Linked DNA regions of Sus scrofa. The protein of the gene in region 3 interacts with the protein of the main gene of each other region in a pairwise test. Links are inferred from orthologs where the notes say so. Each region holds a gene or a part of one and is shown on either strand. Other genes may lie near its edges.

Region 1 (2,884 bases), on a different chromosome or scaffold from region 3:
TCCCTCAGTGGGCTGGGGGATTAGGAGGGATGGTGTGTCCACGGTGGCCAGCAGGTTCCGGATCTAGAGGCTGCAGCGCCCTTGGCGGTGCTTAGTGCTGGGTTTGGGCTCCAGAGCAGAAAGCAAAGATGTGTGTCAGACCAACCTAGGGTGGCGTAACCCAGGCTGCCAATGCCCCCTCTTTCCTAGAGGTGGGGGGAGGGTGAGGCCCAGGCTGGAGTTCTCAAAAGGGCTTTTCTCCTTGTTCTGCTGGGCCTGCACGATCGAGTTTGCTTTGGTCACATGCTAGGGCCTGCTGTGAGAAAGTTCTGTTATCACTGGTGTCACTAGACCCAGTTGCTTGGCTGGCATGGCCTCCAGGCGCCAAAATGGGCACTTTCTTTTTTTTTTTTTTTTTTGTCCTTTTAGGGCCACACCCACGGCATATGAAAGTTCCCAGGATAGGGGTCAAATTGGAAATGTAGCCACTGGCCCAGATCACAGACACAAGGCCAATCCAAGCTACATCTTCTACCTACACCACAGCTCACGGCAATGCCAGATCCTTAACCCACTGAGCGAGGCCAGGGATCAAACCCATATCCTCATAGATACTAGTTGGATTCATTACCGCTGAGCCACAACATGAACTCCGGTGGGCCCTTTCTGACTCGCTTTCCTCCCTCCTCCCAGCACTTTTCCACCGACCCAGTGGCTGCTTCTATCATGAAGATCCACACGTTCAACAAGGACCGTGACCGGGTGAAGCTGGGCGTGGACACCATTGCCAAGTGAGTGGGTGGACCCCACCCCTCCCACCAGGGTCCCAGCTCCTAGGCCTCCATTGCAACCTGCTGAGGGAGCCTGGAGGGAGCATGGCCCTGGGAGTGCAGCCAGGCCCCACCCTTCACTCCCCTAAGCCCTTGGGGAGGGGGCTTGGCCTCTCTGGGCCTCAGTTTAGCTATCTCTAAAACGAAGAGTTTTGCCAATTTAGGGGTTCCCAACCCTGACTTCCCTCCCAGAGCATCAGAACATGAAGGAGGCAGGGTTTTCCCCTGCCCCCAGTTCCTCTGACTGAGCAGGTCCAGAGGGGCCCAGGGGTCCATGTTGCCCAGGAGCCTCTGAGCTATCTCTGGGCACCATTATTCTGTCTCTGCCTGCTCCACCCCACCGTGGTGGTTCCTCAGTGCCCCCAGTGGGAGAGCCTAGACTGAGGAGGCCCAGTGATGGGGGCAGCAGGGGTTGGGCTCCGAGGGTGTCCAGGGTATGATGGCAGGCTTTCCTGGGTCACTCGTAGTACAAGCTGACGTGGCTGTGAGCTGCCATCCTTGTTCACCCCAGGTACTTGGATAATATCCACCTGCATCCGGAGGAGGAGAAATACCGGAAGATCAAGCTGCAGAACAAGGTGTTCCAGGTGAGGGCTGCCACCAGACTTAGCCTGGTGTGGCTAGCATGGCCAGGCCCGAGGCCACCCAGGACCCAGTCCAGCAGTAGGAGCAGGTGGCCTGCAGATAGCCAGAGGGGGCCAGAGCCAGGCTGCAGAAAGGCCCCTGCAGGAGTTGGGAGTTGGCAGGTGGGGAGGGGGATTCCTAAGCACAGGTTGTGTACAGTATGCATACAGTGTCTGCTCTCCCCACCAGCCACAGCATGTTTCGGCTTTTCTTTGAATTCATTGGAAACACATCAGCACTGGGGAGATTTTTCACGGACAGACTTCTGGTTTCTGTGGAGAAATCAAAGGGCCTCCCACCCTGGCCCTTTGGTACCTGTGCAGCTGGCAGGGCTCCACTGTTTACTGGTGGCCCCCTCTGAAGCCCAGCATCACACAGCCCACCTCCCTCACTTTTGGGGATTCCCTCGCCCCTCAGCCTCCTTTGCTCTGGTGTTGACCTTTCAGGGTCCCAGGCCCTATGTAAGCTAAGCCCCACAGACAGCTTCAGGGGTTCATCCTCTCTGGGGACAGAGCAGCTCTGAGACCCGGGACTTTGGGAGGAGGATGGGGTGAGCAACAAGGCTGGTGGGGTGCATGGGGGCCTCCAAGGTCCCATATGACCTCTGGTTCTGCTCTCAGGAGCGCATTAACTGCCTGGAAGGGACCCACGAGTTTTTTGAGGCCATCGGCTTCCAGAAGGCACTGCTTCCAGTCCCTGACCAGGGTAAGACGAATAGAGAAGAGCCTTGGCTGAGCCCAAAGAGGGTGGTGGGAGGGGCCTGGCTCAGAGTTGACATCCCTGTATGTCACAGAGGGCCCTGAAGAGTTCTACGTGCTGAGCGAGGCGGCCTTGGCCCAGCTACAGAGTCTGGAACGGCACAAAGAGCAGCTGTTGCACGCCGAGCCTGTGCGGGCCACACTGGCCCGTCAGTGCCGGGTCTTCCGGCCCTCGCCCCTGGCCTCCCAGTTCGATCTGCCCATGGATTTCTTCAACCTCACTGCCGAAGAGATAAAGCGGGAGCAGAGGCTGCGGTCTGAGGCCGTGGAGCGGCTGAGCGTGCTGCGGACCAAGGCCATGCGCGAGAGGGAGGAGCAGAGGGAGATGCGCAAGTACACGTACACACTGCTGCGCGTGCGCTTCCCTGATGGCTGCCTGCTGCAGGGTGCGTGCTGGGCTCTTCCCTGGGGGCTCCGGTGGGTCCAGGGTGGTTCCTACAGGCTTCAGCGCCACTCTGACTGTCCCCCCCCCACCCCCCAGGGACCTTCTACGCCCGGGAGCGGGTGGCGGCACTGTACGGCTTTGTCCGTGAGGCCTTGCAGAATGACTGGCTACCTTTTGAGCTGCTGGCCTCAGGAGGGCAGAAGTTGTCAGAGGACGAGAACCTGGCCTTCAATGAGTGTGGGCTGGTGAGTGGCAGGCTCCCCAGATCCAGATTGGCTCTGGGTTCTTGTTGAATTGGCACATACTCC
Region 2 (4,095 bases), on a different chromosome or scaffold from region 3:
TTCAATGCTCTCACGTAACATATACCACATGCCAGAAAATTGCTCTTAAACATGGTGTGCCTGCTTACACATGCTCTTTACAGTAATGGTTTAGTTCATATTCGATACAAACAATGGCAGGTTTTCTTTTTTTCATAATCCCCAGGAGTAGACCAGAATCAATTTCCTTAGTTTTTGTGTGGCTCTTTTGCTTACTTTTTACATTCGCATTTTAACTGTGTACATTTCTAATTGAACACCTACAATCATTATATCACCAATGCTGCATAAAACCCTAAAGGATTTAAATTCACAAAGAAACTGAACTAGAATCTTGGCCACCTAAGTGATGACATCGCTCTCAGTGTTGTGTTTGATAGAGTGTTCTGTTCTAATCAGATGGGCTTCTCCCACTTCAAATGCCTCTGGTAATTATTTACAGAGCCTTGGTTTAACTCATCTGGATTTGAACCTCAGCTCTCAATCAAAAAACAAAAAACAAAACAGAGCAAAAGGTCAGCTTGGCTGGGTAAATTCCCTTGCAACACTTCTGCCAAATAAAAGCCTTAAAATTAATAAGTATATATATAAAATCTGCCTCTAGGGTCAGGTAAAATGTTTAATTTCTTCCTCTCTTGGCTATTACATTTGGTCTTGTTATTATTGACTTAAATTGGATAATCATTTAGTTAAAATTTGTTGCACTGTTAGCAATGATGGTATAATGTGCATTAATGTTAATAGACAAAATCTAGCTGCTGAGTTCCCATGTAAGTTGTAATTTAAATCTGGTTTTAGAGGAATTCCTTTGTCTCATTCCTTAAACTTCATTGTGTTCATAACTCTGCATTCTAGTCTCCAGGCCATCAGTCAACACTATGCCAATTAAAACAACAATAATTAAATCTGGGGGTTTTTTTTGTTTTGTTTTGTTCTGATTTGATTACTTTTCCGGAATATTTGGAGTCCCTCTCAAAAGGCATTACTTCTTTTTTAATGATACACCCCCACAATTGCTTATAAAGGGCAACTCTGTTGAACATATTTCAACAAACATGCTCTGCTTTCCCATGTATATGAGCCTTTCATTTCTATCTTCTGCTCAGCTTATAAGTTATATTTAGAAACTTGGGCATGCCGATATTTAGTGGCTTCACTTAACAGCTATTGTCAGTAAACTGTCTTTAAGAACTTCAAGCAGTATTCATACATCAAAGCCTTGTTTTAAGGACGGATGATTTGCCCAAAACTGTGACAACACTGGGGAGGGGGAGGGGAGAGTGGAGTGAGGTGTCATGAAATAGAGGTGAGGGGAATTTTTTTCTCAAAGTATCCATGTTATTATTTTACTTCTGAATTCCTGATACATGCTCAAGGAGGAAAACATTGCAAACTTCCCTCCTGGACAAAGTGAAAAAATAAAATTATAGCCATATGTATCAAGGTGGAGTCCCCCCCTTGAAGAAATATTCATGAAAACAGGACAGGAGTATCTCAGATTGGACAAACCCAGGTAACACTTCTTCTGAACTCATTTAAATTACTTAAGAGAAAAGGAAGCTAAAAGTAACAGCAAGTTAATATTTCTTAGGTACAAATATATGAAGAAGACTTCAAAAAGGAGCGATCAGACCGAGAAAGACTTAATCAAGAAAAAGTGGAACTACAGAAAATTAATCAAACTTCTCAATCCCAGCTGAACAAGCTGAATTCTCAGGTATAGGTCAAAATCATCTTTGCCAGAACATGTATATTTTATTTTTATTTTCTTAATTTAAAAAAATAGACTTTTTGGCTTCTGTTAATTGGCACTGGATTTTTTTTTTTTTTTTTTTTTTTTTTTTTTGAGAGAGAGAGAGAAAGAGGTTAGCACCTGGAATGAAATCATTCTTAAACCATCTTGTAAAGAGATGAAAATGACTGGAGAGTCCTTTTAACTTAAGTATATTAAGAAGTTACCAAGAACTTGGATTCCAAAGTCTTTTATAAAATCCAATTCTTTTGATCTTTTTCTCATAATATTTATCTTGCTAGAAAAGGAATTGAACTACCTAGCACTCAAACTCAAAGCCAAAACACTCCAGTACAGTGAAATTGTTTCTAAACTTGTCATTTTCTTTGAAGGACTATGTTAGAATGTTCCTGGCTTCCAAAAACATAACATATTGCTAAATGTCATTAGTGAAACCAAGAATTTTGTTCAATAGGTTCCCAGATTTAATGTAAGTGGAGCACTCTCAAGGAAGCCAGAGAGTGTTAGCCAGTTTATTAGAATAGAGTATTAAATGTAAGTATACTAAAATTAAGAGTAATAGAATTTATTAAAAGTAAGCTCAAGAAGTTGCCATGGTGGGTAAATATTGCTGTTAATGAGGAAAATGTAGCTAACTCAGTTTTGGCTTGAGTAAAGAAAATAAAACACAAATTTCAATTTGCAAAATTATGCTGTGCTTTTCAATAAATAGGAAATCGCTGTGGGACATGGCTGTGACAGCTCTTTAGCTTCAAAATTCTTAGTCTTAGAAGCGAATTTAAACTATTTGTCATCCTCTCTTTCCTAATACAAAGTAGACTGTGAATTAAATTTAATTTCTTCTTTGAAATCTTTTTTAAGGAGTAACTTGAAATCCCTAGTTTTATACGGAAAATTATTTGACAGAACCACTTCCTTTCTAAAAAATTAGAAGGAATAAGATAGTGGTAAAACTATAATAAAGACACTTTTTCTGAAAATAATTCATACAATCTACTTTCTACAGCAATGGGTAAGAAAATGTTCTGATTGCTCTCAACAAAGAAATTACTGTCTCAACTTTAGGTCTTTATATGCAAAGCAGCCTTAATTTCTTTTAAGTTGTCACTGCACAAATTATTTTACTTCCTGCCATATTTTAATTTTATTCATTCTGCTATGTTAAATTCAGATTCATTATAAATATTTGTCTGAATTGGCAATGTTCCTGCCATTATAGAAGTTCTAGTACAACCAGAAACACACAGCCATCTACTTAAATTATAGACTATAATCCATAGTTATTTTTGTTCCCGTGTCATCTGTGATTTTATGTTATCAACAAAATAAATGTATTGTCTATAGTATGATATAACCATGCTTATGATATGTTAAAACTATCAAAATTTTCCTTATAATGTTAGTACAAGCATCTGTTCTTCAGAAGTCTCATTTCTTCAGGTTAAAGGATGATAGAATTCAAGATAAGTAACAGATAGCTTAAAAGTCTATGTTAAATGAATTAACAACCAATTAAATGCCATTATATTATCGAATCAGCTTTACCTTTTGAATAGCATATTACTTGAGGTCCAAATTGGCCATTTGACCAAAAAGGAAATTTTAGGTCAGATAAAAGGTATTAGTTGGTATTATATTGCTGGTATTAGTTGCTTGTATACCAGAGTTTATCCCTCCTATCACTGAGGATGTTTTAAGACAATCACCGGTAAAATAGTCAGTGTGGAGAGAGATACTTAGGAAGAATTCAAGGATGAGAGCCCAGTGTTCATGCTTGCTTTAACAATAGGTGAGAACCTTGAGCAAATATTCAAATTTTCTCTGCTTCCTTTTCTTCATCTGTAAAATGACAAAGTTGTTTCTAATAACTCTGAAACCTCTGTCTCAAAGTAAGTTGCTTAGCCTCTCTCAGTACATTCATCTGTAAAATAGAGTAATGATACCTACCTCATAATTCACAAAGTTGTTCTCAGGATTAAGTTAAAAAAAAAATCTATATAAAAACATCTCACGCAAGCCATGGCTCATAGGTATTTCATAGTCTCTTGGAAGGGGAAGTTTTAATGCTTCATTATAATTAGCCTGCTACATTCAGTTCCTCATAATTTTGATGCTTTCTTTCTGCAAGGCATTCTGCTATATGCTGTGAGGGAATTTAAGTGATCTGTGCTACTATAAGACTCATATATTGTGGGGGACATATCTAGTCTATGGCAATGGCAATGCAGATTCCATTTCTGTGAATTTGTCTACTCACTAAAATATTCTTGTCACACCAAATCAATGCTCGTGCCACCTTCAAGGTCATTTGCAAATTTGCAGAGAGCAGCAAAAAACTTCACTTTCCTCACACACTTGTTCCC
Region 3 (4,846 bases):
AATAAATAAATAAATAAATAAATAAAATAAAAAAATAAAAACAGGAATGCAGAGTTCCCACCGTGGCGCAGTGGTTAACAAAACCGACTAGGAACCATGAGGTTGCGGGTTCGATCTCTGGCTTTGCTCAGTGGGTTAACGATCCCGCGTTGCCGTGAGCTGTGGTGTAGGTTGCAGACACAGCTCACATACTGTGTTGCTGTGGCTCTGGCGTAGGCTGGTGGCTACAGCTCCGATTGGACCCCTAGCCTGGGAACCTCCATATGCTGAGGGAGCGGCCCAAGAAATGGCAAAAAGACAAAAACAAAACAACAACAACAAAAAAGCCAGGAATGCTCAAACAAGTCCTGGCTATCACACAGGGCTGTTGTGAAGATTCATGAAGACCCCCCAGAGCATTGCAGGGGTGCTCTGCTCTGAAAACTCTGAGCATAATATGCTACTGGAAACAAAAGCAAGGGATTGCTGAGCTGAAATCAGTGGTTTAAATCATTCATCAGCAAATATTTATCAGGCTTCTACGGTTTACTGAGGGCTTTTCTTTCCAAAGTTTTCCCTTTTCAGATGCTTTTCTAATGTTCTTACTGAAGTATAGAATGTAAATTCCATAAGAAAACAATGTTTGCCTGTCTTGTCCAGCTCCATCTCTACTTGCACAGAGCAACACCAGCAGATATTTTAAAACGAAGAATGGAAGGAAAAACTTATTTGCTGCCTGAAAGGATGCCATCTTTGCCCTTAAGAACAAGGTTTTTGTTTTGTTTTGTTTTGTTTTGTTTTGCCTCAGCTAGGAATGCAGAAATTCCCACGCCAGGGGTCAAACCCTTGCCATAGCTATAACCAGAGCCACAGCAGCGACAACGCCAGGTCCTTAGACCACTGAGCCACAAGAGAACTCCAAGAACAATTAATTTAGGAGATACACAAAGGAAAATATACATGAGGTATCACACAGTTGCCTGTAACAGGTACCAAAGGAAGGGCAGGGCCACAGGCACTCCTTGGGGACCACAAGAATGCCAGTTTCAGTGTTAGCTGTAGTGTGTGTGGGGGGGGGGGGGGTTCACAGCACAGCATACCCTTCCTTTTAGTGAGAAAGCGACACTGAAATAAACACAGAAGCCTGTCGGTAGAATGGACAGGCTGAGAAAATTCGAGTGATGGTCTAAGTCAGAAAAGGACAGATGTGAATACGACCAGCAAAATAAACCTCTATGGAGTTGAGGCTTAAGTTGGGTTTAATGGGAGGGGAACACGGGATAAATCAAGGGTTTGAGGAGCGTATTTCAGGCAGTTAGAGAAATTCGTAGCACTGTGCCCCCTGTGGAAAGACTCTCAAAGTAAGGTGACCTTGAGTTGCAGTGCGTAGGTGGGAAGGGTTTCGGGGAGCAGTGTGAAGGTACTGCCTCAGAGCGACCAAGAGAGAAAAGATACTGTTTTGAGACAATACCTGTACTTTGTTTTCTTCCAATCAAGGGACAAGGGTGGGGGTTGGAGGGCTCGACCCAGTGGGCGGGGCCAAAGTGAGTGGGCGGATCACGCGGGTCCTTCCTCCAGCTACTGGAGACCTGGCGAAGGGGCGGGGTTTCCGGTGGCAGCGGCATTCGGGCGTCGGGTGACGCTAGGCGGACGAATCGTCACGTGACACGGAAGTGACTACGAACAGGAAGAGGACGAAAAAAATAACCGTCCGCGACGCCGAGCTGAACCGGACCCGCAGCCACCATGAACAGCAAAGGCAAGGACAGGGGGTAGCTGAGGCCATCGGGGAGAATAGTGCTGGCCCGGAGAGAGCGGGCCCGGGACCAAGGGTCATCAAAAGCCAGGCCTGGGGCTAGTTGCGCCGCGCTCCTGGGCCAGCTGTAGTGCCGGGGGTTGCGCCAGACGCCTTCGTCATCCCCGAACTACGGCTGCTCGCCCCCTCCTGGCCTTTTCCCCCTTAAACTCTGTGGCGCAGTTTGGAGCTCCGGGCTCGAGTGGGGGGCCGTTGGAGCGGGGGGGGGGGCGAGAAGGCTTGTCGTGATGGGCATCTGCAGGCGCAAATGGGGAGCTAGAGCTGATATTTGGGTAGGCCAATGGAGAGCCTGCGGAGGCGGGGCGCCGCGCTCCGGAACCACAGGCAGGCCCCAGGGCTTAACTAGTGAATTGCCGGCCCTGGTGGGCGGGCCGGGCAGGCCGAAGGGTCTCTTTCCCCTTAACCTCGCTGGCCGCCTGAACGTCTCCCAGTTCCTGTGTTAGGACATTCGCCTCCACCTCCTCTCCCATCCCAAGGCTCACTTTCACCACTCTTTTTATTTGGAAGTCGACCTTGAGTAGGAACCTGTGAGGTGGAGGACTACAAACACCGTTACTCACGAGCTCTAGGCCAGTTTCAGCCAGGCCCTGGGGGACCACCAGAGCAGAGAGGACGCACACACTTAAAACATCGACAGGAATGGGTGCGCAGACATGCCCATTCTGGAAGGATCTTGGGCCTAGATAGACTTTCCCCTTGTACCAGTGTGCTACTGTAAAGAGACCTTCCAGCCCAGTTAGAATCCAGCATCTCAGTTATAAGGGTACAAAGAGTGTTTATTTTCTTGGTTCCAGGAATCAGGCCCTCTAGGACAGTGTTTTTGCAAACCTCTTGCTGGCTCAGTGAGGTTAGCTACCCAGTATGCTCTGCCCCATTTTGGTTGCTCTGTGTGGTAGGCAACATTCTTTTTTTTGTTTTTTGTTTTTTTTCCTGTCTTCCAGGTCAATATCCAACGCAGCCAACCTACCCGGTGCAGCCTCCCGGGAATCCTGTGTACCCTCAGACCTTGCATCTTCCTCAGGCTCCACCCTATACTGATGCTCCACCTGCCTATTCAGAGGTGCTTCCAGTTTACTAGACTTGAACTGAGTACTCTTGGATCACATTTTCAGTCTTTAGCTAAGTCTGGCTCCACACATGTATTTACTCTCCACAAACAGGAGAGAGAGCTCACGTGGATAATCTAAAACCTCTTTATAGTTCAGCAATTTCAGTTGGGGTTGAGAAGGCATTATCTGATTATTTTGCTCTTTGGCACAGGCTGAAGTTGAGAAGATGAGTTAGCGTTCTTTGAGCCCAACATTATTTCTAGCAGGAAGTGATCCAGGAGGATATTGAGTGGCTGGTGGAAAGGCAACTTGTGTAACTCAGAGTGTAATCTGCACAATAATTAAGAATTGCCTCATGAAAGAGATCTGAAATAAGAATGTCATAAAGTAACGTGTTGCCCTCTCTTCTGCCTCTTCTAGCTCTATCGTCCGAGCTTTGTGCACCCAGGGGCTGCCACAGTCCCCACCATGTCAGCTGCATTTCCTGGCGCCTCACTGTACCTTCCCATGGCCCAGTCTGTGGCTGTTGGACCTTTAGGTTCCACAATCCCCATGGCTTATTATCCAGTTGGTCCCATCTATCCACCTGGTTCAACAGTGCTGGTGGAAGGAGGGTATGATACAGGTGCCAGATTTGGAGCTGGCGCTACTGCTGGCAACATTCCTGTGAGTATGCCTTTATCACAAAAACCTCAGCCCTTGTGTATATTAACTTTCTGAAATGACTACATAGTCATCCTTTCATCATCCCTGGGCAGTAGTTGCTGGTATTGGTGCAACCACTGACGTCCAGTAATCAGGCAGAATTCACTTGAGGGGGCAGGAGAACTGTGGGAAGTCAGTAGCCTCTGGCATATTCACTGAGGTCTGAGTTAACCAGATTCCTTTGTTTCTGTCTTAGGAGTCCTGCCTGCTGCTTTTCCAGTTCACTTTGGTACTGGTCTAGTAACACTCCTCATTCATTCCATAAGCATTTACTTAATATTTGCACAGCATTTTATCAGGAGCCATGATGATTAAAAAGTAGAATGCGTATCCCTGTTAAGTTCCCTTTAGGAAGACTTTACTAGGGCTTTTACTATGTCTCCCACTTAGTTTCCCTATGTATGGTAACTAGAGCCCAAATGGTCCTTGCTAGGGCCATTCACGCAGTAACCATATGCTAACAATGAGGTGAGAATGCTGTCATCAGGTAGAGCCTTCAGATTATCCATGTGAAAACTGTTGAGGAACTCTGTGGTGTAGGGCCATGGACCTGGTAACCCCTCCCCATTTTTTGGAATGGGAGTCAGAGGGATTTTCCACCCTGCAAATGCTTATGGGTCTGGACTGTGCATACCCAGGAGGGATCCCTAGGCTTTATCTTGGATCTGGGACCCTTTAAATGAGGGGTAGGATCTGTTTTCTGTTTATGTCTTGGGGCTCACAGAGAATATAGACCTGCTTCACCCACACTGCTGGCTCAAGTAGCACGTTGCCATCTTCCTGACCGGTCCTCTTTCATCTTTGTCCACTTCTCTCGTATCAGCTGCCCGGTGCCCAATCAACCTTGTCTTTTCCTTTCAGCCTCCTCCCCCTGGATGCCCTCCCAATGCTGCTCAGCTGGCAGTCATGCAGGGAGCGAATGTCCTCGTAACTCAGCGGAAGGGAAACTTCTTCATGGGTGGCTCAGATGGCGGCTACACCATCTGGTGAAGAACCAAGGCCACCTCTGTGCCGGGAAAGACGTCACATACCTTCAGCACTTCTCACAATGTAACTGCTTTAGTCATATTAACCTGAAGTTGCAGTTTAGACACATGTTGTTGGGGTGTCTTTCTGGTGCCCAAACTTTCAGGCACTTTTCAAACTTAATAAGGAACCATGTAATGGTAGCAGTACCTCCCTAAAGCATTTTGAGGTAGGGGAGGTATCCATTCATCAAATGAATGTGGGTGAAGCAGCCCTAAGGATCTTCCTGTAATTCCTCTGGAGTAATACTGTACCATACTGGTCTTTGCTT
Region 4 (4,871 bases), on a different chromosome or scaffold from region 3:
AATCAAACCTGACTCTAAAGCCCAAAGTAGTTACATGCTCATGGGGTTGGGGGCAGAGGGGACTGTGAGTCTCCTCCCCTGCTCATGACAGACAACACTAATCAATCACGATGTGGCAGACATTGCTAATCAATTGCAGAGTTCTTTTTTAATAAGCTCGGAGGCAGCTGTGACCTTCTCTACACAGTACTTCAGGACACCCTTACCCATCAGAAGATCAAATCTAGTATTTGCCATTCCTGTGATTCCACTCTGTCAGCCTTGAACACTCAGGACTCAGGCACTATGCTTTGGATGCTCTGGTCAGCAGGTCGCAGGACTCTGCTCTGTACATCCGTTGCTATGCTCTTCTAGGACAGAGATTAATGGCTCTGCCACCCCCAAACTGTTGGCCCTTCCAAGCACGGTCTCTCTTAGGGAACAACCATGCAGTTTTGCCTGGGGCTTCAGGGTTCGTTAGGTCTTTAATGGAAGTCTTAACGTGAAGCATTTTAGTACCCCAAAGTGTAGATAATATTATTATCACAGACAGCTGTGTTCCCACAGCTGAAGTTCAACAAACCATCACGGACGCAACTGAAGTCCTTGTGTGTCCCCTTCGGTCCATCTCCACCTCCAGCCCCGCCCCTGTGTCACCACTCTCTGACTTTTGTGTCTCTCATTCCCATGCATATTTTTATACTTTTTTTTTTTTTTTTGTCTTTTTGCTATTTCTTGGGCTGCTCCCGTGGCATATGGAGATTCCCAGGCTAGGGGTCTAATCGGAGCCATAGCCACCAGCCTTCACCGGGGCCACAGCAACGCGTGATCCGAACCGCGTCTGCAACCTGCACCACAGCTCATGGCAACGCCTGATCGTCAACCCACTGAGCAAGGGCAGGGACCGAACCCACAACCTCATGGTTCCTAGTTGGATTCGTTAACCACTGCGCCACAACGGGAACTCCATATTTTTATACTTTTATTACATAATTCCGTATCCACATTATCCAGCCTTTCAGAAATTATGTTGCTCAGATCCTGTTGCAGCTTGTCATTTTCATGCCATTGGATGTTACGAACTTTTAGGCATGAGGCTAAGTGCAGCTTTGGCTCTTTCACCGTATCATAATTGTGAATATTTGTTGAGCCCTTATTCTGCACCAGGCATGGTTTCCGGTACCTTACCTGCCTTAACAATTTTGTTGTGCCTTACCTAACCTTCACAACAAAATATTTTACAGATTTGGAAACAGAGGCATAGAAAGGCGAAAGTCTATACCCTTGGAAACTGTGCTCTTAGCCGCTAGACACCACCCTCTCTACTGCTGTGGGGTCTGTGGTATGAAAATACAGTCGTTTATCCATCTGTTCTCCTGTTTAAGGGCCATTGCTTTTTCTTTTTTCACTTTTTGGGGCTGCATCTGCAGCATATGGAGGTTCCCAGGCTAGGGGTCCAATCAGAGCTACAGCTGCTGGCCTGGGCCACAGCCGCAGCAACGCAGGATCCGTGCTGCATCTGCAAACCTACACCACAGCTCACGGCAATGCCAGATCCTTAACCCACTGAGCAGAGGCCAGGGATCGAACCCGCAATCTCATGGTTCCTGGTCGGATTCATTTCCACTGCGCCACAATGGGAACTCCAAGGGCCATTGCTTATTTTTGCAGACGCACCTCCACACTGGTCTCACCAGGTTTGAGGGTGGTTGTATTATCTTGCTTAAGTTCCTGCCTGTAAATAAATATCTATATCATCTCCCTTTATAGATGAGGAAATTATGGCTCAGAAAGGGTAAGTCACTTTCCCAAAGCTGCACAGCTCCAAAATGCCAGAGGTGGGCTGTGAACCTGGGTTCCTGCAATTGTAGAGCCCAGGGGTTTGCCCATATCCCATGTGACCCTCGGTCCCCCCTTGGCTTCTCCTCTCGGCTCTGTCCCTGGCAGCCTGCTCTCCCTCTTCCAGAACACCTTCCCCGCACCTGGCCTTCAGGCCCCCTCCTCTGGCCACCCTCCACCGTCCTCCTCCCAGAGAAGGGGCCCAACCGGAAGGCCAGTTCATGTTAGGAAATTCCAGCCACGTGAGCCAAGCCAAGCCCGGGATTCTGAGCAGCCGGTGGCTTTAGGAGAAACTGAAACTTGGCTCGCTGGGGGCGGGGTGGCCACTGGGGATTTAAAGAGCTGCCACTTCCTTGGGCCCCCAGAGGGCACGGGGAGGTCACAGCAGCCGAGGGCCACCCTGAACCGGGTGTGAGCCTCTGTTTTCCCTCCAAACATGCACCTCTGCAGAGGCGACGAGCTGCTGACTGGGATGGTGAGTACAGGGGACGGGATTCAGGAGAGGAGAAGGGGAATAGGCCCCAGGGCGCCCGGTGCCAGTTTGGTTCACATGGGCTCACCCCCGCCCCCCGACCCTGCCGGCCTCAGTTTCCTCGGAGCATCCTTGGAATGAGGGTTTACCTGCTCTCCCATTGCAGATCCAGCCTCCAGTCCAGAGCCCGGCCTCTGGTTACTGCTCTCTCCTAACCTACCTGTTCTTTCATTGCCATAATGGGAGACTTCTCTGGCCATGGTTCTGGTGGAGGCCTTGCCCCTCTCCCGGGACCCAGGTACCAGAGTCCCACCTGCTTCTCTCACTGCAGGTCTTTCCCCGGGGTTCCTGTCTTTTGGCCCCAGCACCTGGAAGGGATCTGCTGTGGCCATGAACCTGGAAGCAGAGTCCTCAGCCAGGGAGGCCAGGGTCTTGCCTGAGATTTCTGCACTCAGAACTTGCAGAAATCAGAGTGATCTGTGGGAGGGGGGTTGGGCTGTGGGGTCCCCAGCGTTTCCTCTTGTCTGACCTTCCAGAACCCTGGGTGTTTGGGTCAAATATTTCATCTAAGCTTCATGAACCCCAGTGTAGGGGGACGGTCATGGCTGTGAACCTCTGAGGCCACAGTTCTGTCAGAAGGGACTCCATTCATTCATTCATTAAAGGCTACTTGTCCTACTAGAATGCGAGCAACTTGGGGCAGGAATTTTTTTTCTCTGTGGTTTGCTGCTCTGTCCCCATAGCTCAGTGCATGGCACCTAGTAGGTGCTCAAAAAATATTTGTTGGATAAATGAACTTCAGTTGTGGGCCTGAGCTGGCCACGGGCACTTGGAACCCAATCAGAATGCAGACCTGCTCTCACAGACGAAGCTCAAGGCTAGAGAAATCAACACCTTGACTGTGGAAATAATAGCTATTGGAACAACGGCCGCCTTGTATTAACCCTGGTCCGTGGGCTGGCCTTGGGCTGTCTGCCTTACGACGCTTGAGGAAGGTACTGGTCTTCCCTTGTGCAGATGAGGCAGCTGGACACAGGGAAGGCCTGCCCAGGGCAACAGGGCTGATAAAGAGAGTGTGGGTGTGAGTTCCTGTGGTGGCTCATTGGTTAACGAACCTGACTTGTATCCATGAGGACCTGGGTTTGATCCCTGGCCTTGCTCAGTGGGTTAAGGATCCAGCATTGCCAGGAGCTGTGGTGTAGGTCACAGACGTGGCTTGGATTCCAAGTGGCTGTGGCTGTAGCTCCAATTGGACCCCTAGCCTGGGACCCTCCATGTGCCATGGGTGCGGCCCTAAAAAGAAAAAAAAAAAAAAAGAGTGTGGGTGTGAAGTCAGTTCTGTCTGGGTTTGAATCCCAGACTCTCATCTTGTGCTGCCCCAACGTGAGCTGTGAGTAGGACATGTGGGTGACTGGGACTCCACCCAGGGGTGCTGTGTGTGCGATGGGGTGTGTGGACACCGAGGGAGCCAGAGATGGCTTCTGGGAGAAAGGGGACCCTCAGGGACTTAACTCAAGAAGGGTGTATGGCTTTACAGCCCGCCAGCCCCTGTAGGGACCCCTGAGCCCTCTGCCTCTCACCTTACAGGACTCTGAGGAGCATCAGAGACAGCTGAAGAAGAAACAGAAGAACCGGGTGGCCGCCCAGAGAAGCCGGCAGAAGCACACGAACAAAGCGGATGCCTTGCACCAGGTGGGGATGCTTCCCTTCCCATCCCTGACGTCACGTGCCTGGCCCGGCCACCTCTTCTCCATCCGGCCTGTGAGCAGTTCCACCTCCGCTGCTGTGTGTGCCGGGGGTGGGGCAGGGGGGCTGCAGCTGTGATTTGGAAATTCCTGAGTGTTGAGTGGAAGCCGTGCTCCAGATACACACTGGGCTCCAGGGGCACAGCAGGGCATCCTCAGCCTGGGCCTGCCCTCGAGGCAGTCTCCCATCTAGGGGGAGGAAAAGGGAAGGAGGGGCAAACAGGGAGAATCCCGTGGGGACCAGCTGGGGAGCTCGTTAAAATGCAGACCCCTGGAGTTCCCGTTGTGGCGCAGTGGTTAACGAATCCGACTAGGAACCATGAGGTTGCGGGTTCGGTCCCTGCCCTTGCTCAGTGGGTTAACGATCCGGCGTTGCCGTGAGCTGTGGTGTAGGTTGCAGACGCGGCTCGGATCCCGCGTTGCTGTGGCTCTGGTGTAGGCCGGTGGCTACAGCTCCGATTCGACCCCTAGCCTGGGAACCTCCATATGCCGTGGGAGCGGCCCAAGAAATAGCAACAACAACAACAACAAAAAAAAGACAAAAATGCAGACCCCTGATCCCTCCCCACCCACCTGAGGAGGCTGGAATGGGGTCTGGGGGCTACACTGTGATGACCACTCTGCCCGTCGGGGTTCTGATGTGGTGGCCACGGCCACGCTGTGAGAAACTGGCTCAGGGTTAAGATGGGCTGGCTTCTGAGTCCCAGCTGCAGCACTCATTAGCTGCAAGTCACTTGGCTAAGCTTCCCTGTCCTCATCCGAAATTGGGGGCAATAATCCTGTCCACTGGTGAGTCTGGTGTGGGGAGGGGGGCTCCACCTGCACTTGCCTTCTCA
Region 5 (4,602 bases), on a different chromosome or scaffold from region 3:
CTTTTTTTTCAAGCTCAGGTTGGGAGTGGGGGCTGTGGGCAGAGCCTCGAGAGCTATAGAACTAGGAGCTCAGCCACTCACCTGAAGCCAGGAAACAGAAGGGATGGTTAGGATGGAATGGCTTTTGATACTGCAGAAATATGTGGTAATTTGGGGTGTGCTGCAGTGTCTGTACAGGGAAAAGCCCTGAATGAAGTGGAGGATTCTCTGTCGCCTGAATTTGCAGTATCCATGGATCCCATTCTGCTGAAGTTACTATGAAGTCAATAGAATGGAGGAGGAAGTGGTGGGGGTGGGTCACAACCCAGCCTTCCTTCCTTCAAATCACATGAGTTGAGTGGGTTTTGAAAGCCCATGACTGGCCCATGATAGGAAAGCATACAGGAAATGTGCAGATTGAAAGTGTCATTAACTTTATCTTCCATACTGATGCCATGTCCTCATGATTCAAAAAGAAACTATTTTTAATTTACATAGTTAATAAGTCATAACAAAGAGAGGACAACATGGTATGAGGACAGTGTCCACGAGACCATAAACTCCATGAAGGCAGAGCCAGTGTAGCCATAGGGATGACACAGGAGATGCTAGTAAATATTTTTCTGGCTGGGGCAGTTGTTAAAGGAATGACTAGAAAAACACAAATATGAAAACTGGGAAATGGAACTATTCATACATATATTATTCAAACCACATTGATTAGCAGATACTAACATAAATTACCATGTTTATTTATTGTAATTGTCAGTTATGATTTTTGTATGACAAAATCAGTCAAATACTGGAATGTCCTATATTCAAACTTCATAGTGTAGTTCCAGAGTACGCGTAAAAAGGGAATTTAAATACTGAAGTATATGTATGTTATATGTATTATTTTAAATAATTAGAACATAATTCTTCAATCAATAATTATAGATATCTTTAAAATCACCTATAATCCTTGGTTCCACCATTCCCACATCCAGCTAGTTTCATTTATCTTTTTCTTCACAGTCTACATGTAGTTTAAAACAATCTATCTTTTCTAATAACAACAAAATCAAGATATGGAAGAGAATACTCATCAGGCATTTTTGCAAACTAGAAATTCAGCCCCAGAACTTAGCTGCCTATTTTATCCAAAGGGAATTTGTTTGAAACAGTATTCTACTGCAAATTAATTCTGATAATAGGCACAGCTTTTTTCAGTGAATAATTCACTTTCTTTCAATACAACACAGGCGTATATAAACAAAAATTCTCTAAGAACAATGCATTTTTCTTTCTAACATGTACTTTTTAAGAAGATAAATGTTTACCTCTCCTTGAACTGCAGATGCGCAAATGAAGGCTCCTTATCCGGGAACACACTCACCAGCTCAGAATCCCCCTGAATATCCTTCAGCAGGATTCTCAGGTAAAACATTAGCTTAAAGAATAAAAAACCAGATTTCCCCTTGTGGCGCAGTGGAAATGAATCCGACTAGAAACCATGAGGTTGTGCGTTCGATCCCTGGTCTTGCTCAGTGGGTTAAGGATCTGGCGTTGCCGTGAGCTATGGTGTAGGTTGCAGATGTGGCTCGGATCTGGCGTTGCTGTGGCTGTGGTGTAAGCCTGCAGACATAGTTCCGATTAGACCCCTAGCCTGGGAACCTCCATATGCCAGGGGTGCAGCCCTCAAAAGACCAAAAAGTAAAAATAAAAAACCAAAATGTATCAATTACTGATATTCCCAAAAGGGTGTCTGTCTGTCTGTCTCTGTGTTAAAAGTGCAGTGATGAAATTGGCAGCATACATCTTTCTTTGACTATATATTATCATAAATATCATTGAAATATTTTTTATTTATACAGGATAGTAAAGGTGTAGTGTTAATAACAGTAGTGAATTGACATTCAGCAAATAAAATATAAGGTCACATATATATTAAACCCCAAAATACATACATTAAGTAAGAGATTTTACTGAGTCTCCATTTGTTCTGAAAATTATGGTCATGCAATCATTTTTAGGAAATTTATCTCTGGATGTTTTTGAGTCATTTGTCATCTGGGGTTAATTGTGTTCAGTGATTGTCATGCAGAAGATGACTGGTTAAACCTGGAAGCTGCAGGCAACAGAAAAATAGCTACCTAGGATAATTCTCATTTTTATTTTGTTATACACAAAAATGTAAAAGTTTCACTTTTATAGACATAATCATATCTTGCTTTTCTTTAAAATTTTAATTGAAGTATAGTTGATTTACAGTGTTCTTTCAATTTCTGCTATACAGCAAAGTGATCCAGTCATATATATATATGTATATATATGTATATATATATATATATTCCTTTTTCATATGATCCTCCGTAATGTTCTAACTCCAGAGAATGGACGTAGTTCCCTGTTCTGTACAGCTGTACAGTAGTTTCCCACTGTGTATCCATTTTAAATGTAATAATTTGCATCTACCAACCCCAAACTCCTTGCTTTTCTAAGAAAAGTAACTGGATCATATCACTATAAACCAAGGAATACATTATTTCTTTTGAACCACTGCCTAGGAGGCTTCAGAGATTTTCATTTAAACAAATGCAGTTATCAACATTACCAGAATTTTACCGAATGACAGAGTTCATGGTGCACCCAGATTTGCAAGTAGGCAGGGTACCCACATCTTGAGAGACCATCCTGGGGACTTAGGATCAAAAGGAATCTGTTTGGGCAGAAGGGTGTATGCATTTTGATTCTATTCTGAGCAAATAAATGTGCTCGGGAGATGGATGGATTGTTTACCCATCTAGCCAGAAACATCTCAGTGTAGCCTGGATCTCATCCAGATGTTTGCATTTTAAAAGAATGTGGAGTAAAAAGACTCCAAGACTCTAAGGTGATAGTTCTCAAAAGTGCCTGTACTTAGGTATTACTTGCAAACTGTTGAAAACATTAGCATCAGGGCACTATCCCAGGAAAACAGAAGCAGAAGCTCTGGTTGTGGACCCCTGGGATTGGTCACTTCTTTAAATTTCTCAGGTGATTTAAATAAGCAGCCAGAGTTGAGAATTGCTGCTATAAATTTTTATGTGATTGGTATTTGAAGAATTATAAGCAAATCTATGATATGCACCCAAGGCACTTGGAGGATGTTTTAACCCACCCATTAGCTAAGTAATAGTAGGTGATACATAATTAAATTAGATAATAATCAGAATTGAGAGATTGCAAGAAAAATAGCTCAATTTTATTTCTGAAGTCCAATAATATAGGTACTTTATGATAATGGTGCTAACAATGATAGACTAAAATTAAGAGTTTACTGTGCCTAATGTTGATTAACTAATTTAATTATCAGACAATCTTATGAGGTAAATACCATTAATTATCCCCATTTTTCAAGTGGGAAAACAGGTATAGAAAGACTGAATCAGGCTTCAAAATCTGACTTTTGTTCTGAATAGTTGTGTGGTAGTTTTAAGCAAGTTGCTGTAAGTCCAAGCCTCAGTTTTTAATCTATAAAATGAGCATAATATTTTCTAATTCAGGCAATTTGGAAATTAAATGAAACTATGTGTAGAACATCTAGTGAAATGCTTTACAGTTAATAAAAGACAAATATTTGCTATTACATTAATAATATGTTCACTTGGGCTTTATTTAAATGAAAATATTACCCAAATTTCAAGTGATTCTATAGGCCTAACCCAATGATTTAGGAAATAATTACCTTTTCCAAGAATCTTTTGAAGATTAAATAATGCTAATAATCTAACCATTTCATATCTCACCTTCACTGGCTTGTCTATGGTTTGATGTTTGCACTATAGCCAGTGATGTTTAAAAATACATATATTCATATTATAGGCAGTATCTAATGAATACATCATTGCTTCCTCTTGCATTCAGGATAAAGGTTTTGTTCTGGTCCACCAAACCCAAAGGGATCCTCTGTTTTCTCCTTAACTGCCTCTTAAGCCTGTCTCTTTTCTTTCAGATAGATTGTCCTTTTTTTTTTTTTCAGATTTTCAAAGCAACTGTGTTTGTTACTATCCCCTGCTGCTTGCCTCCTCAACTCCTTTGCATCCATTAGATCTCAGCTGAAGGTGGTCCTCAGGGACGGTGTCTCAACTCCCTCTCTCTCTCTCTCCCCATCCAAACACCTTCCTTTGGCACATGTAGTCACAAAACCCTGGTCTCTTCCTTCGAAGCGCTTGTCTCTGATTCTAGTTAGTTAACCACACTGGTGTAGATCCCTAGAGTAAGGGTGAGTATGAAGTTCTTCTCTCATTAGGCAGTGGGACAGGGATTGCATTCGCATTTGTTATTTGAAATCCCAGTGCTCATCACTCATAAAAACTTTGCAAGACATAATGCAGATCATGGAACTCATTCTTCTGTTTAAATTTCCCAAATCCTATCAGTCACTCTTGGAATAAAATCTAAACTCCATATTAAGTGTGTGTGTGTGTGTGTGTGTGTGTGTGTGTGTGTGTGTGTGTTTATGGCTGCAGCCATGCCATATGGAAGTTCCTGGGCCAGGGACTGAATCTGAGCTGCAGCTGTGACCTGCATCACCGCTGCTGCAGCACAAGATCCTTTAACCCTCTGCACCAGGCCAAGGATCCAACCCATGACTCCACA
Region 6 (4,727 bases), on a different chromosome or scaffold from region 3:
ATTTTTAAGCCCGTGTTGCTTTTTTGGCATGCAAAATATTAAGCAGTTTCTTGTCAGTTCTCTAACTATGACTTGCTTCGCTAATTAAGACTTCAGCCTCACAAAGTAGAGCCCCCCTTGGTCACCCATCACTGTTTTTATAAACGCTTTAGTACAGCAGCTCACACTGAATGTCACATTGGGTCAGTGGTGTTCCTTGTCTCAAGATGGCATTTTTTTTATCAAGTAGCCGAGAGGGTTAAACTCTCTCTCACTATTACACACTGAGAATTTTCAAATGTGTGCTTCTTCTTTGCTTGGTACAGAGCCATAATAAGAAAAACATGTTGCCTTCCTATATAGTATATAAAACCTTTTCTTTTTCCACAAAGTCTTCTTATTCAAGATGTTTTCGTTTACTTACTTCCAAATGGATCTCTATCATTATTTATTACCACCATCACTCCAGGGATCTGAGCCAGAAGTAAACATGGCACTGTCAAAAGCCGGGGAGGGAGGACCCCAAAACTCCCAGCCCATCCTACCCAGGCAAGGCATACAGTCTCAAATCAAGCTTTTGTCTCTTTAGAGAACAGAGCCGTCTATAAAAATGTAGAACGTATATAAATCCTCTAGGAATAAGCTTTTCAACATAGTAACTTATGTTTTGTGTATAAAATACACTCAAATTACAAGGATTCCTCTTCACAGCAGAAAAGATGCCAAACACCCAAATCTCCTCTAATCATAAAATTGTATTCATATTTCGAATATGATTATGTTCTTTGAATTTTCAGCTAACCTAGCATTCCAGAAGGAGGAGAATTATACACAGCTTCCCTACTCTCTCTTCTATGGAGATTATTCTTTTCCTGGAAAAAGAAAATGACCTCCACACAGGGTTCAGAAATTAACGAAAATAACACTGGTTTGCTTTGTTCCTCAGAGATGTCTTAAACTCGACTGGAAACGACGGCAACGTTTAAACTACTCCGCCCCAAATGAGCAACTTTCCAGTTCTTGTTACAACCTTGATTTAAGCAACAGACCCATCATCCTTTCTCAGATCACCCACCTCCAACTCCTCCTTGGCAAACGCAACTAAAAACCGCCCCCGGCCACAGATTTGCGAGGTAGATTTTGCCTGGCAATTAACCCCCGCGTGGCCACTACGCAAACGCTGCGCAGTCGCCAGTAGAGTCCCAGCGTTAAGCCCCCCCTCTTCCCTTTCCCACAGGGAAGCAACTGCATCCCCTGACTCGAAAGCGGGGAAGGTTTCTAGCGGGGCGGGGGCAGTTGCAGAAAACCGCAGGGATGTGGTTAGAACCCCACAGACTGACTTAGAAGATCCAGTTAACTGACTTCGCACCGTGCACCCTGAGCGGTTTATGCTTTAAGGAACAGCGACATAAACGCAAACCCCCTTCCCAAATCAAGTGATCAGGGATGTCTGACGTAATCAGCTCTTGCTTAAACCTAAACGCCCCCCAGGAAAGGGCCCGGTCCTTGGAGCGCGCAAATGGCAGCAGAACAGGAGAAAAGCTTGGCGCTCTTCTTGTGCCTGTCGCCTAATTCTCACCTGCCTCCAGAAATGCGGGCAGTGGGGCGCAAAGCACAGAACGGGCGACGCTGAGACCCACTTAGGTGTCAGGAGCGTCTCTCACATTTCTGGGACTTGAGGCGAACCACCTCAACCTCCAGACCTGGAGGCGCAGCCGCCCTCCCCAGCAGAGGCAGTGAGCGCGAATCCCGCAGCGGGTGCCGGCCGGGGGTTCCCCCCAAGATCAGGATGGCGTGGTCCCCTCTAATCAGGCGGCAGCTCCTGTGCGCCCCAGGGTTCACGCAGCCCAAATGCCCGCGACCCTCGAGAAAAACGCCACCCGGGAGCCGGGTCCGCCCTTCCAGCCCGCCTGAAGGAGACCAGGTCCCCCAGTAGCTGAAAAGCCGCCGGGGGACCCCCATCCCAGGCACAGAAAACGCCACCTCCCGGCGGTGGGGGAGGGGGGTGAAGGGCCAACAAAAGGGAAGCCAAATCCCCTTTCAACCAAGTGGCGGGGATCGGGAGGTGCACTTCCCTTAGCCTGGTCCCGGCGCCCGCGCTGGTGGGGGGAATCTCGCGTATACCGGGGTGCCGCTGTCCGGGAGCCCCGGAAGGTAACCTTGGCGAGCAAGGCGGATGCAAGGTCCTGAGAACTTCGGACACTTCTGCAGACCCGGGGCTGGACCGCATTCACACTCACGACCCTCGGAAACCCCCGGCAAGGGGCTCCTCGCGGGCGCCGGCGCCGCCCGCCCGGCCTCTGGAAACACTTAGCCATCCCCAGAGCGCGCCTTATTGAAAGCAGCCCCGGGCAGCGGGGCGCCGGCTGGGGAACGGAACCCAGGCGGGCGCTGAGGGGCCCCTCCAGGCACCCCTCGCTCGGGAGCACCGGCGCCGGCGAGGCGGCCGGAGCAGGGTCGCGAAGGAAGGGACGGACGCGTGAGCCCCGAACCCCCGTCTCACTCACGGAAGACGTGCTGTAGGGCGGGCGCGGACCAGCGGGTCCTACCTGAGGTCCCCGACACGCAGAGTAGGAGCGCGGCGGCCGCCCAGACGGCCAGGACGCACAGCAACCGCAACGGTGAGCCCCCGGCCATGCCGCGGGCCGTGGGGGCCGGGGCGCGGGGACCGGCGCGGCGCGGGGTCCGGGCGCCACCACCCCTTTCGGCCGCGCGTCCGCTGCCCTTCCTCCCGGGCGCTTCGTGAGTTGATCCCTTTCGAGGAACTCGTGGTCCTCCTCCTCTCCCCGCCCGGATGCGCCGCTCGGCTCCGGCCTCCGGGACGAGCGCGAGGGGCGGACCGCTGGCGAGCAGGGAGGCAGGGTCCCAGGCTCGCCCGCCCCGATGGGCAGAGCAAGTCCGGCGCCAGCGCCCCCTGCCGGAGGGATATGCCTGCGACGGGAGGGGCGCGCGGGAAGCAGGAGCTGGGACGGTGGGCAGCCGCTAGTCTCGGGAGGTGCCTCTCCGGCCCACTCTCGGGCCTGCACCTCCACACGCTTGGCCGCAGAGGTGGAACCTTGGGAGCGTCCAGCCGGACCTTGTGGGGCCTGCCCTTGCCGCAGAGACGCCCGGGACAGTTGACACCCACCCTTAGGAGCCGGGACCTCCGGGGGCCTGGTCATAAATCTGTAACTCAGAATGACTCTGCGCCCCGCCGGCCACCACCGAGCAGATCAGAGAAAGATCTAGTCCCCCAAAACCAGCGACGCGGGAGGAAGAGAACCAAAACATGCAAGGAAAGTAACAGGTCACGTCCTTGCCGGCGCCCTCCCGGGCCCCTCTTCGCCCTGCTACACCCAGTGGGGACAACTGCGACCTTCCAAAATGCTTAGAAACTGCTGAGAGTAGAGCTGCGTGGAAGGAGCCCTCGGGAGTGCGATGCTATCTGAAGCCACCGCGGCTTTGGGTTTACTGTTAAAAGCAAATTGTGTAATTTTACCCATTAAAGGCAGAACTCTGCAGAGCCCCAGAACATGCAGAAGTAATTTGCTTCACTTGTAAAAGACATCTTGAACGCAATTCAAATAGCATATTTTCTTGCTTATTCTTGGTTTTGCTTTAACACATGCAAAGGTCTGGAATTGGAAGGCCTGACCCTTCTGTTTGTAACTTAGGAATTTTCTTTGTTTTTGCTCTCTTGAAGAAAGGAGTCAGAACCTCGGGGGTCTGAGTTGTTTGTTTTGGGAGATTTATCTTTTAAGTGATTATCAAGCAGTTTGGCTTTTTTGCTCAAGTACCATTTCCTGCTAGTTAGGATGAATTCGGGAGAGTCCCGGCCTTGGGTGCTAGGCCCAGAGACCCCTGAGGTTGCCCCCCCTGGAACTGCCCCCTCCACCGCCTCCCACAAGGCAGGAAATAAAAGCCCTCTCGCTGTGGTCTGCTGGCAACGTGGCTGAGCCGGCCCCGCCCACTACCCCGTTCGAATTATTTAGGCCTCTGTCTCCGCCCCGAATCTGCTTAGGGAACGTCTCACACAGTGCTCATTCCTAAAGCAGACTGGGGACTGGGACTGTGGCTGGCCAGGGGCAGCCAGGGATCCAGGGGCGAGTGGGAGAAGATGGTAAAATCATTATCCAACTGCGGCGACCCCGCGCACAGCTGCTCCTCCGGCCGCCGCTTGTGCTTGTGCTGGTCTGAAAGGGGCTGGGAGGCGAGGGGGCTCTTCCCGGTGTTGTGTGCAGACTGCCAGGTGTTTATCTCTGGGGTTTTCCTCCCTTTTCTTCCCCTGGGGGCCCTTTAAGAGTAAATAAGCCTTTCAGAGTTGGTCTGGAAGCACTAGTTCCAGACGCTTCCATTCTGGATCTGGTGAAAAACAAGACGGGGCGGCCGTAAAGGTCCTATGAGCCTTGCCCCTCAAAAAGCAGTTAATCACCCAAGCTTTGTCCTTTCTGTGGGCCCCTTTTTGCTTTCCACTGCTTGTGCTTGAGGTTGTGCTTCCAGAACCATTGGGTGAGCAGCTCTGACACTTATTCTTGGTGTGTACTTTGGAGGAATCATGCTTCAGCCCCCTCATCGGAGTGCCGTTTTCACATGACTGGGTTCCCCACAAACCTGACGGGAGAGTTTAAACAGCAATATATTTCTTTGCTGATGGTTGTGGGGTGGGAAAAGATATGTGGTTACATCACTCATGATTTCTTAAAGCTCTTTTTTTTTTTTTAATTATCTTTTCAGCATTTTTCTTCCTTTTCATCACTTATAACTCTGGC
Region 7 (4,095 bases), on a different chromosome or scaffold from region 3:
TGCGAATATAAGCCGCAGTCAGCTCCCCTAAATATCTAATTAGACTTTTAGACATCTTATGACTGCTGGTGACTTCCACATAGAAGACAAGCTACTCTGCTTTTGTGTAAGACTTGTCCTGACTTACTTGCTTCTAGGTCTCAGCCAGCCATAAATGTTTCCTCTTATGCTTCTTTTTTGAGGGCTGTGTGATCAATCGCCAGTCATTCTCCACCTCCTGATATTAAAGAACAGAGGTAGAGCTACAGTTCTCTTTTAGAAGAAGATATGAAGCTTCAATGTGTCTTGTACCTGTCCTCTTTTGTCACTTACAAGGTCTTGGTAGCAAGAAGTTTCTGTGTTTCTGTATAATTGTTAAAGCAAACTTGGATTCTATTGATTGGAACATATTAGCGAGAACTAGATTTTATTTCCTAAAATGTCTAATTCTTCAAGAATTCTTTCTCCTCCCCATACCCTTTTGTTAAAAAAAAAATTTCAAATCTATCGAAAAGTTGACAGAATAATACAGTGAGTACAGTCAAGATGCTCTTCCTTGTAGATGTACCCATTATTATCATTTTGCCACATTTTCTTTATCTTGTGTTCTGTTTATTGGTTGGTTGATATATTGAGAACCATTTGAAAGTAAATTACAGGCATCATGAACTTCAGAAACTCCTGAGGATAAGAACTCTCTCATATAAACTCTTTTTTTTTTTTTTTTTTTTTGCTTTTTAGGACCACACTTGCAGCATATGGAGGTTCCCAGGCTAGGGGTCTAATCGGAGCTACAGCTGCCAGCTTATGCCACAGCTACAGCAATGCCAGATCCTTAACCCACTGAGTGAGGCCAGGGATCGAACCCGAAACCTCATGGTTTCTAGTCAGATTCATTTCCACTGTGCCGCTATGGAAACTCCTCATATAAACTTTAATACCATTTTCATACCTCAGAAAATTTGTTTCTGTATAATTTCCCTATACTTTTAATAAAAGATCTCTTAGACTAAATATAAATCCAAAAGTGTTCTCAGTAGTACATACCACTAATGTTTAAGTTTAGATTCAGATCTTTAAAGCTTTCTCATTAGAGTAATACTTTTACTTTTATGCTTACTTCCAGGTAAACATGAGTAAAAGTTTTACTAATGCCAGTAGGAATTTTTAATGAGAGATCAGTTACTGTAATCTGTTAGTCATTAAGCACTCCTAGTAGGCATTCACGGTCACAGGCCCTTGGAATTAACTTGCGATAGTTACTTGCTTTACAGAATTGCTGTGGAGAACAAAAGAGACTAGTTAAGTGTATAGCAGCATGGTGGTGTTGGGGTATGGGAATGGATATACATTAAGCCCTTTATCTTTTTTAAACTCCTTTGTAAAAATGAAAATGAAATTTTTGGTGGTGACTTTTAACAACAATGGCTGTTTTTATAGCTATTAACCTACGTGACATCTTGCACATCAGACTGCTTATTGGATCTCAGATTGCAGCAGAGATGCGGGAAGCCATGTATAATCACTTGAGTCTCACTGGCTGTGCTGGAGTGGCTTCTAATAAATTATTGGCAAAATTAGTTTCTGGTGTCTTTAAACCAAATCAGCAGACAGTCTTACTACCTGAAAGTTCTCAAGATCTCATTCATAGTTTGAGCCACATAAAGGAAATGCCTGGTAAGACAAACGTATTTGAAAAGTGTATATTGGTTTTGTTATATTTCAAGTTACAAATTAAATTGCATATTTAATTGTATTAAATTACAGATAAATGTAACTAATTCTTAGAACCTATGCACTTGGTTCTTGGTCAAAACCGAAAAAACCTGCCATTTTCTGGAAGGAATCTATGTTAGGAAAAGTATGAAAGTACTTTTCTAGTTTCTCCTACTTTTGTTTAGTTTGAATGCAATCATGAAAGTTATAACCTGGAAACATGATCCTTTATTTTTTTTGTCCCTGGTTATACTTTTATACTGTAAATTGCATCTAGAAAAAGAAGTTGGTCTTTCACTAACTCTTATTTTGAGATTATGTATAAAATATTAAGGCTGCAAAGGATCTTCTAAAGCGTCTTGGCCAACATTTTATTTTAAGGATGAGGAAATTCATGTTTTGAGGAGTTCAGTGACCTGTTTAGGTCATGGGACAAGTTTGTATCTTTGAAGATCAAATGCTTGACATTTTTATAGACCATTCATTAGTAATGGATGTGTTAAACTACATTTCTATAGCTTTGGCCGGGATTAAGATATTAATAGAATTCTGTGGAAGAGAATTTCTAAGACTACTGAAATGTAACCATTAGATGTCATAACTTCACAATTTTAACCCATGTTTGGGTTCCGTAGTGTGTTATACACTGCCTTGCCTTCCTCAATTTGGTATAGTCATAACTTAAAGTTTTTTGGGTGACTCTGAGTCTGTTCTGGCAAACAATTACTATGTCAGGCTGTAATAAATTGAAGACTGTGTACTGTGACATAACATTATTACTTGGCTTTACTACAGTTCTTATTTTCATTTTTTCCAGGCTTTCTCATTTCTTCCTTATTGCCAAATTGCCAGCCCTCATTTTTTTTGTTGTTGTTATGAAAATATCTGTCACTTCACTTTAATAATTCCTGCTATAGACCTATCACCTTTGATTTACTTCTTCCTTTACTGTACAAGGATAACTGTAGGATTAATTTTTAAAAATGAGAGGAGTAAAGGAGCACTAAGTTGCCTGAGGATTTTTCCTATGATAAAGTATGACTGAGTTTTAGTGCAAGAATTTTGTGATAGGAGTTTTGCTAATGAGAAAATGTGTTTGTTTGCTTTCTGGCTCGAAGATGTATTCGAAATAATTACTGTCTCCAGATGTAAATGTGTGGTATTGTGTATAGGAATCAGTCAAGTTAGCTATTAATTAGCACATAGTAATGAATTGTAACTGCTCTAGAGACCATCTCTCCTTTTTACTTTCTTTTTTCAGGACAGTGGGGTGGAGGGCACACTCATGGCATATGGAAGTTCCCAGATGAGGCATTGAATCTGAGCCACAGCAGCAACGTATGGTGCATCTGTGGCAATGGCCAGATCCTTAACCCAAGGCACTAGAGCAGAAACTCAGTGACAATCTTTCCTTACATGAATAATAACTGTGATTCTTCAATACTTCCATGGTTTTGTAGAACAGGTGGTAAAAATTTCATTTTATCAAGACAGCATTTATTGGTTATCTCTTTTTAAAATTTTTTTAAGTTGTTATTTCCCCAATACAATTTTTTTCCTACTGTACAGCATGGTGACCCAGTTACACATGTGTAACATTCTTTTTTTATCACAATATCATGCTCCATCATAAGTGAATAGTCACAGTTCTCAGTGCTACATAGCAGGATCTCATTGCTAATCCATTCCAAAAGCAATAGTTTGCATCTATTAACCCCAAGCTCCCAATCCATCCCACTTCCTCCTCCTCCCCTTGGCAACCATAAGTCTATTCTCCAAGTCCATGAGTTTCTTTTCTGTGGAAAGGTTCATGTGTGCCATATATTAGATTCCATATCTAAGTGCTATTATATGGTATTTGTCTTTCTCTTTTTGACTTACTTCACTCAGGATGAGAGTCTCTAGTTCCATCCATGTTGCTGCAAGTGGCATTATTTCGTTCTTTTTTATGGTTGAGTTGTATTCCATTGTGTATATATACCACATCTTCCTAATCCAATCATCTCTCAATGGACATTTGGGTTGTTTCCATGTCTTGGCTATTGTGAATAGTGCTGCAATGAACATGCGGGTACATAATGTCTTTTTTAAGGAAGGTTTTGTCCGGATATATGCCCAAGAGTGGGATTTCTGGGTCATATGGCAGTTCTATGTATAGTTTTCTAAGGTACCTCCATACTGTTCTCCATAGTGGTTGTACCAGCTTACGTTCCCACCAACAGTGCAGGAGGGTTCCCTTTTCTCTACATCCCCTCCAGCATTTGTTATTTGTGGACTTATTAATGATGGCTGTTATGACTGGTGTGAGGTGGTATCTCATGGTAGTTTTGATTTGCATTTCTCTAATAATCAGGGATGTTGAACATTTTTCCATGTACTTGTTGGCCATCTGTGTATTTT

Evidence for each region.
Region 1: the proteins of DAZAP2 (region 3) and UBXN6 interact in binary tests that used the Homo sapiens proteins (3 or more experiments, as listed by UniProt). The link is inferred for Sus scrofa from reciprocal best matches to the Homo sapiens genes DAZAP2 and UBXN6.
Region 2: the proteins of DAZAP2 (region 3) and TNIP3 interact in binary tests that used the Homo sapiens proteins (3 or more experiments, as listed by UniProt). The two-hybrid records come from large-scale screens. The link is inferred for Sus scrofa from reciprocal best matches to the Homo sapiens genes DAZAP2 and TNIP3.
Region 4: the proteins of DAZAP2 (region 3) and BATF2 interact in binary tests that used the Homo sapiens proteins (3 or more experiments, as listed by UniProt). The two-hybrid records come from large-scale screens. The link is inferred for Sus scrofa from reciprocal best matches to the Homo sapiens genes DAZAP2 and BATF2.
Region 5: the proteins of DAZAP2 (region 3) and PLSCR1 interact in binary tests that used the Homo sapiens proteins (3 or more experiments, as listed by UniProt). The two-hybrid records come from large-scale screens. The link is inferred for Sus scrofa from reciprocal best matches to the Homo sapiens genes DAZAP2 and PLSCR1.
Region 6: the proteins of DAZAP2 (region 3) and ROR2 interact in binary tests that used the Homo sapiens proteins (3 or more experiments, as listed by UniProt). The two-hybrid records come from large-scale screens. The link is inferred for Sus scrofa from reciprocal best matches to the Homo sapiens genes DAZAP2 and ROR2.
Region 7: the proteins of DAZAP2 (region 3) and POLI interact in binary tests that used the Homo sapiens proteins (3 or more experiments, as listed by UniProt). The two-hybrid records come from large-scale screens. The link is inferred for Sus scrofa from reciprocal best matches to the Homo sapiens genes DAZAP2 and POLI.

The regions. Positions count from the first base shown.
Region 1 is NC_010444.4:74,374,413-74,377,296, forward strand, and holds part of UBXN6 (UBX domain-containing protein 6), read left to right. Parts: intron 1-672; coding exon 673-770; intron 771-1,320; coding exon 1,321-1,396; intron 1,397-2,053; coding exon 2,054-2,138; intron 2,139-2,226; coding exon 2,227-2,577; intron 2,578-2,672; coding exon 2,673-2,821; intron 2,822-2,884. UniProt on the Homo sapiens protein: May negatively regulate the ATPase activity of VCP, an ATP-driven segregase that associates with different cofactors to control a wide variety of cellular processes.
Region 2 is NC_010450.4:102,972,269-102,976,363, forward strand, and holds part of TNIP3 (TNFAIP3-interacting protein 3), read left to right. Parts: exon of another isoform or gene 1-1,570; coding exon 1,571-1,696; intron 1,697-4,095. UniProt on the Homo sapiens protein: Binds to zinc finger protein TNFAIP3 and inhibits NF-kappa-B activation induced by tumor necrosis factor, Toll-like receptor 4 (TLR4), interleukin-1 and 12-O-tetradecanoylphorbol-13-acetate.
Region 3 is NW_018085018.1:160,377-165,222, reverse strand, and holds the start of DAZAP2 (DAZ-associated protein 2), read left to right. Parts: upstream 1-1,660; 5' UTR 1,661-1,725; coding exon 1,726-1,738; intron 1,739-2,736; coding exon 2,737-2,855; intron 2,856-3,264; coding exon 3,265-3,510; intron 3,511-4,410; coding exon 4,411-4,539; coding exon of another isoform or gene 4,540-4,733; 3' UTR 4,734-4,846. UniProt on the Homo sapiens protein: In unstressed cells, promotes SIAH1-mediated polyubiquitination and degradation of the serine/threonine-protein kinase HIPK2, probably by acting as a loading factor that potentiates complex formation between HIPK2 and ubiquitin ligase SIAH1.
Region 4 is NC_010444.4:7,178,184-7,183,054, forward strand, and holds the start of BATF2 (basic leucine zipper transcriptional factor ATF-like 2), read left to right. Parts: upstream 1-1,835; 5' UTR 1,836-2,254; coding exon 2,255-2,293; intron 2,294-3,877; coding exon 3,878-4,051; intron 4,052-4,871.
Region 5 is NC_010455.5:86,856,644-86,861,245, reverse strand, and holds the start of PLSCR1 (phospholipid scramblase 1), read left to right. Parts: upstream 1-1,326; coding exon 1,327-1,399; intron 1,400-4,602. UniProt on the Homo sapiens protein: Catalyzes calcium-induced ATP-independent rapid bidirectional and non-specific movement of phospholipids (lipid scrambling or lipid flip-flop) between the inner and outer leaflet of the plasma membrane resulting in collapse of the phospholipid asymmetry which leads to phosphatidylserine externalization on the cell surface.
Region 6 is NC_010456.5:3,032,482-3,037,208, forward strand, and holds the start of ROR2 (tyrosine-protein kinase transmembrane receptor ROR2), read right to left. Parts: upstream 2,904-4,727; 5' UTR 2,617-2,903; coding exon 2,529-2,616; intron 1-2,528. UniProt on the Homo sapiens protein: Tyrosine-protein kinase receptor which may be involved in the early formation of the chondrocytes. It seems to be required for cartilage and growth plate development. Phosphorylates YWHAB, leading to induction of osteogenesis and bone formation.
Region 7 is NC_010443.5:103,803,611-103,807,705, forward strand, and holds part of POLI (DNA polymerase iota), read left to right. Parts: intron 1-1,419; coding exon 1,420-1,656; intron 1,657-4,095. UniProt on the Homo sapiens protein: Error-prone DNA polymerase specifically involved in DNA repair. Plays an important role in translesion synthesis, where the normal high-fidelity DNA polymerases cannot proceed and DNA synthesis stalls. Favors Hoogsteen base-pairing in the active site.